2 linked regions of the Ovis aries genome follow. The protein of the gene in region 2 interacts with the protein of the main gene of each other region in a pairwise test. Links are inferred from orthologs where the notes say so. Each region holds a gene or a part of one and is shown on either strand. Other genes may lie near its edges. The genes, in order: CDK18 and CCNK.

What was found.
Region 1: the proteins of CCNK (region 2) and CDK18 interact in binary tests that used the Homo sapiens proteins (3 or more experiments, as listed by UniProt). The two-hybrid records come from large-scale screens. The link is inferred for Ovis aries from reciprocal best matches to the Homo sapiens genes CCNK and CDK18.

The regions. Positions count from the first base shown.
Region 1 is NC_056065.1:3,138,943-3,142,226, reverse strand, and holds the end of CDK18 (cyclin-dependent kinase 18), read right to left. Parts: coding exon 3,279-3,284; intron 2,986-3,278; coding exon 2,908-2,985; intron 2,260-2,907; coding exon 2,225-2,259; 3' UTR 706-2,224; downstream 1-705. UniProt on the Homo sapiens protein: May play a role in signal transduction cascades in terminally differentiated cells.
Region 2 is NC_056071.1:62,177,615-62,180,970, reverse strand, and holds part of CCNK (cyclin-K), read right to left. Parts: intron 1,613-3,356; coding exon 1,559-1,612; intron 1,213-1,558; coding exon 1,141-1,212; intron 1-1,140. UniProt on the Homo sapiens protein: Regulatory subunit of cyclin-dependent kinases that mediates activation of target kinases.

The sequences.
Region 1 (3,284 bases), on a different chromosome or scaffold from region 2:
GCCCCTCACGTGTGCCAGCAAACTGCAAAGTACTCACGTGCGAGGCATCAGATGCAGCCTGACATTCTCAGGGTGGGCTTGGGGAGAACAAACCTGGACACTGAACCGGAAAACACAGCAGGATGCTGAGGACTCTGGGAGATTAGCGTGAAAGGAGGTGTGAACAGACCCAGGGTAAGGGGGCATCTGGGAAGCGGGAAGGGGAGTCAGGTCTGTGCAGTTACCATTGGGCTGGAAATACAGGTCTCCCTGGTTCTGCTGTGCTGGCCTTGACCATTCTCCACGTCAGCCCTCTCTTAAACCTTCCTCCCTGCCTCCCAAGAAGTCAGAGACTCACTCGGTTGGGGGAGCACAAAGGTCAGCTACATCAGACAGAACCCAGACCCTTCCCCAGGACCCCTGGCAGCAACTCGGGCCACGGCGGCAACAGAACCAAGTCCCAGGCCTCTCCTGCACCCATCCCGGGTGCCCGGGACTGACTGCCAGCCCTGAAGGCAGCAGCATCCAGAATACAGCAGGGAGAGTACAGGGCACCAGGCCCATGGCCAGAGTGGGCTCAGGGACACACACTAACCAAACTCTCCCCGCTTTATCTGCACAGACACAAGCCCGGCCTGCCCTCGGGGGCCTGGGGAGGCCCTTCCGTCCCCCACCTTTGGCATCAGTTTGTCAACATCAGCTTTTGTGCAGGAGACTCCTCACTCCTTTCTGTACCACATGAATTAAATATATTATCTGTCTTTATGCTGAGTCACAGGATATTCACAGTACAGTGGTGGGGGGTGGGGATGGGGACTTATGGGGAAGCCAAGACCCTCCAGGGCTGCTCCTCAGGCAGAAGAGGGTGGGCAGGGGGCCTGGCCTCCCTTTGGCATTGACGTCTAAGACCCAGCCCAGTGTTGAGACTTTGGGAATACAAGAGGTATGCTCCATAGGGGGGTGGAGGCGCCTTCTCTGGGGCCACGGCCCAGCACACTCCCAGTCCCCTGGAGCTCAGGGTAAGAGCCAACCCCATCCCGCCCCACCTTCCTGCATCTCAGACTGTGGGCCTGGCCTCCTCTGGGCATGGAGAGGCTCCAGTCAGGCCAGAGCAAGGACAGAGCCACGGGCACTGGGGAGGAGCAGAAGAGGAAGGCTGTGCAACACCACCGAGCTGGGGCCGGCCTGACACCAGGCTCAGGGTGAGCCTGCACACCCAGGCGCTGCCCGCAGGATGCTGGTCCAGGGCCCCATGTGACTGGCTGGGCCACCAGCAGCACACGGGGCCCCTGGCAAGGAGCGGGCCGCGGGGACAAGTCGGGGGGAATGGGAGAGGGGGGTGCGGCTCTGTCGCTCTGGGGACGGCCGCCCCCGCACTCGGGGATGAGAAGCAGGAAGAGCTCTCGGGAGACGGCAGACTGGTAGGAGCGGGAGGCAGAGCTCCCAGGGCAGTGCCCCACCGCCTGCAGTTTAAGGCGATCCCGCTCAGACTGGGGGGGAGGGCGGGCTCCACGGAGCTGCAGGAGCGTGGCCAGGGAGCCAGGGCCCCGTGGGACTGGCTGGGCCACCAGCAGCACACGGGGCCCCTGGCAAGGAGCGGGCCATGGGGACAAGTCGGGGGGAATGGGAGAGGGGTGCGGCTCTGTCGCTCTGGGGACGGCCGCCCCCACAGGTGGGAGGGGCTTTGGCACAAACGTTGGCACCCAGGGTTCCAGGGTCCCAGACAAGGTGCCATGTCACTTCCTGCTCTCAGAGGGGAAACAGGGGAAAGATGTGCGGGCTCCCAGGGGCCTGAAAGGGTCTCAACCAAACTGATGAGGCAGGCAGGCAGGCAGGCCCCCGGGAGGTCGGGGGGCACAGCGCCGCCCATGTCCAAGGCACAGTGCTCAGCTCAGCCTCTGGACTCTCCAGTCCCTGTGGGTTCCCCGCTGGTGCCCAAGGGCTTCAGGGTGGGAAAGTGCCTGAGGTTGCTCTCTGCCCACCACCTCTTCCAAAGGAAGCAGTTCATGCCTGGCCCCAGGGCAGGCAGTGGAGGGGTTGGTGTCTGGGCCAAGGGGTTGGTGTCTGGGGAGGCACATGGGAAGCAGGGAGAGGAAGCAGCCACGGACAGCTGGGCTGCCCAAGGTCTCCCGGGCCGGCCACCAGCCCTCACGCATCTGTCCTCCGAGGCCGCACGGGCCCCATCCCGCTGCAGCTGTGCACGGTGTGACCTCTCGCCCCTGGGCCACAGGAGGGCGGGCACAGCTCAGAAGATGCTCTGTCGGCGGTTCTTCCCTCGCCCTGGAAAATGGAAGGAAAGATGTGGAGCTGCAAGGAGGAGGCGGGGGCCAAGGTCGCCTGAGATCAGCAGGGACGGACTGCTCTGCCAGAGCCAGCAAGGGCATGCGCTCAGGAGCTGGTCAGTCCTGAGCTCTAATCCCATCCCTTCTACTCACTCACTATGTGAAACTGCAGCTCAGCCTCCCAGAGCCTCAGTCTCCTTGCCTGAGAAATGGGGAGCATTAACCAATGGCATCGACTTCAATGAAAATTTTAGGATTAAATAAGATGCTATATGGAAAGCACTTATCACATCTGAGGCCATCAGCTAGTCTGGAAATAAGTGCAGTTCTCCCAGGATAGAGGCTACACCTGGAGCTCAGAATGTGCTGAGAGAAGGCACCAGGAAACGGGCACACCTTCATGGGGCTACTTTCAGATGTGGCATTCTGTCTGGGGCGCGGGTTGAGGAGGAAGACACAAGGAGGAAGCCTGGGCAGCAGATAGGGAAACCGGCCCTGCCCTGCTCCCTGCAGGCCCCCGGAAGAGAGGCCTGGGTCGGGGAGGAGCCCCCATCTCCCGGCCCTATCTCTGTTCCTCAGGAAGGCAAGTGCTGCCCGCCCTGGCCTCCTCTAGTCAGGGTGAGCAATGGGGAGGACAGGCCCCTACCTGGCTGCTGGAAGGCCAGACCCCGGTAGCCGGGGTCCTTCTGGAGCTGGATCTCCTTCAGGGAGAAGAGGGAGGCAGCTGCGGGCAGAGAGGGCACAGGCCGGGAGGCCACTCAGCGAGCCGGCTCCACTCCCGCAGTCTGCAGCCCCTCGCCCACCACGCGCGGGGAGCTGGGCACCCCTTCAGTCAGGCTGGCAGCCCCAGGATGACTGGGTTTGCTCCCCTCGTTACTAAGGAAAACCCGGGGACAGGGAGCCAGGTTGCTCAGCCAGACCTGGGCCCTGGGCTCTGGGCTCTGCTCCCTCCTCGCCCAGACCCACTGCCCCGTTCCCGGGTCCAGGGAGGCCCCCCAGCCTCGCCCTCGCACTCACTGTCTT
Region 2 (3,356 bases):
GGGGCCACTGCCAGCAGGGCTGGGGCAGGAGGAACAGGTGATGAGGAGGCAGCAGGGGCCACTGCCAGCAGGGCTGCCGCTTCTGAAGCCACAGGAGGAGGAAGATGGGCGGGGGACGACGGACACGGACGTGGAGGGGCAGAAGCCTTGGATGTAGACATTATGCAGCTTTTTGGAATCACATGTAGGCCAGAAAAATGACACCTCTGACGGGCAGAGGGAGATTCCAGGTCAGTGGAAACAGCCATGGGTTACTTCTCTGGGATGTTCAAGCTGGAGTGCAGACTCATCCGAACCCCTTCTGGTCCAGCCCCCTGCCTCATGCCCCTTACCCTCCTTTCCAGATGCACCCACACCACCCCGGCCCACACCCCCACCACTAGCACTGTTCATGACAGGAGCTCCATCTCAGACGTCTCCCCGCGGGGGCCCTCTGATTTTAGCTTGGGGTCTGATGGGAGGCTCCAGGGCACAGACCCTCAAAAACGAGACAGGACAGAAGACTTCCAGTATTTTTTAGGCCTGAGGATTGGGACTGCCCTTGGTGTAAATCCGTGAATTTTTCAGAGGGGAAGTTGTTTCCACTGTGAAAAGTGTATCTGGCTGCAACAAGAATATATCCAGAGGGGGGAAAGTGGGGAGGGGGCTGCATGGTGTGGAGTCAGGGTAAGAGTGGGAGAATGAGGTTAGGGGAGGGGGGCTGGGAGCTGGAGAGGGTGCAGACTGACTGGGAGACCCCGTGGGTCATCAGAACACATCTCTCCCGGTCAGTCTGCACCCTCCCCAACTCCCAGCCGCCTCGACCCCCTTTGTGTTCCTGGGGCTTCCCTGGTGGCACAGACAGTAAAATCTGCCTGCAATGCAGGAGACCCTGGATCAATCCCCTGGGTCGGGAAGATCCCCTGGAGGAGGAGATGGCAACCCACTCCAGTATTCCTGCCTGGAGAGTTCCATGGACGGAGGAGCTTGGCACCACAGAGTCGCAAAAAGTCGGACAACACTGAGTGAGTATCCACATTTAGGTCATTAATGTCTTTTTAAATTTCTGAAATTCTAGAAGTGTTCCCCAAGACTTCCAAAATCTGTCCTTCAAAAAGGCAGAGAGAAAAGCTGGTCTTCCCAGAGACCAGCAGCACTTACCTGGAGGCGGATGGGCTGGAGGCAATGGAGGGTGAGTGGGCTCGATTTTGGGAATTTTAGGTGGTGGTGGTTCTAAAAAGCAAAAATAGATTTAAAAAGCTATTCTTCATGTAGAATAAACATGTCACAGAGAGAGAGAGAGAGAGAGAGAAGGAAGAGAAAAATGTACCGTTAAGGAATTTTTTTTGGAAAAGGCAGATATGAAGGCTTTAAGGGAAGCTAAGGACAGACTGGCTAAACCATCCTTTTAAAGGAACAAAAAGGAAATCAAACAAACACATCCCCCTGTACCCCCCGCCTCCGCCCTTCCAACGCCCCACACCTCTCACCACCTCCCCGCCCAAAACAAACATGGCCAGCCCGTTTTCCGAATCTGCCCAGTTTTCTCCTGACCACCTAAGACAAGCCCTCCAATGACCTGAGAGAAGTGGAGTGAATCTCAGGTGCCAAGTGGTATCCATCGGGGTCCACCCTAACACAGAGAACACAAAGAAAGGCCCCGAGTGTGCACAGGAGCAACTCTCGCTGTGTAATTCTTGCTCAGGCACATCCGAGTTTATTTTCTCTCAAAAATATTTACTCCCAGTTATCAGCACATTAACTGGACGCTGGACGTGAGCAGACGTAACAGCAAAGCGGTCGGGACCACTTGGGGCAGGGCACACGGCCCACCCTTCGTGGTGGGGCGGCTGCATGGAACTGACACCCCCAGTGACCACTTGGCTAAGTGGCCAAGACAGGCTGCACTGCGTCCAGTATCTTCCGGTCATGAGGAGAGTGTATGTATACAACCAAAAGAGCACCCCATCTTCTTGTTTGTATTTTTGGTTCTTTCTTCCTGAAACTTGCTCTATTCTAGCTTGTACACCGCTCTGCTCTGGAGTTGCTCAACATTCCTGGCTTCCTCCATCTCAGACACAGGCTGACTTCAAGGTCCAGGACCTACCCTCTTTACCCTCTTCCTGAGAGATCCCCCTGACCCCATTCCTCTGTCTCCGTGCTGTGAGCGCTGCCAGGAAACTTTCTGAACCGAATGAACTCAGACCATGCCATCTCCTGCTCACACACCTCCAGCAGCGCCCAGCGTCTGCAGTACCCACCCTCCACCAGGTGGGCACAGTCCCTGCTTCCATCCCACCTTCAGTCTAGCAGAAGCTATTCCCCTTTAACCCACAATCCAGTAACACTCCTTTCTCTAGTTTTCTCCTAAATTCTCAATTCCACTGATCACTTTTCATCCACCTAAAGACTCCACCTTGCCAGCCCCAGCTGACTGGCATCAGTCCTCCTCCGAGGCCCACCGGGCTGGTCTCTGCCTCTCACGGGGTGGCACCGGCTCAGCGGATTGTACACCCACGTGAAATAGAGCACAGCCCCCTCTTCTGTGTCTCACACTTGCTGCCTACCCATCTGGAGCTTAAAAAAAAAGATCTCCCCTGTACTGAACTCATCATATTTCCCCAAAGATCCTGAGAAAAATGTAGCTTTACTGTAACGTGAAGGTCTCACAACAGTTCAATAAGTAATTCCCAGGGCTCCTACCCTGGAACCAAGCAACAGAGAAAACAGAGAATCAGAGATACACCCGGTCTGCGCCTGCACGGGGGTCAACACCACCCAGCCGGCTGAGTCGGAGGCAAAGTGCCTCTCATTGTCTCCTCTGTGATCATCCAGGCTTCCCTCACCCTGTGGTTTCCAGCACAGAAACAAGTTAACCAACTCTGGGCTCCACAAATATGGGCCATATAGGTGTTGCAAAAAAGCCTGGCCCTGTAAGCAGCAGGTGGCACCCTGGCCCGTGGCTCCCCTCCTTTCTACCTGTACGCTGCTGCTTGATGCTCAGCCGGGGGCCTTCACTCTGTTGACTGCAGTGGGCTTAACTAACCTTCAAAAATAAATGCTGCTGCAGCAGTTCGCCTACATCCCTATTTTGATATACAGTCGGCCCCTTGCATCTGCAGACAGGGAGGGCGGACTATGAAACTCGAGCATCTGGGAGTCTGGTATCCAAGGCGGGTCCCAGAGGCCGCCCCCTGCCGCTGATACCAAGGAATGACTGTGTGTTGCTGAGCACATTTTCACTGCCGCTCCTGTTTTTCTTTGTACTGACACTTTCTGTTAGAGTACAATCCAAAAACACACAGTCAGGGAATACACAGAGAGGACAATGCAGGTAGGGTAAAGTTTCTGATGGGCTCCAACATTAAATTTTAAGG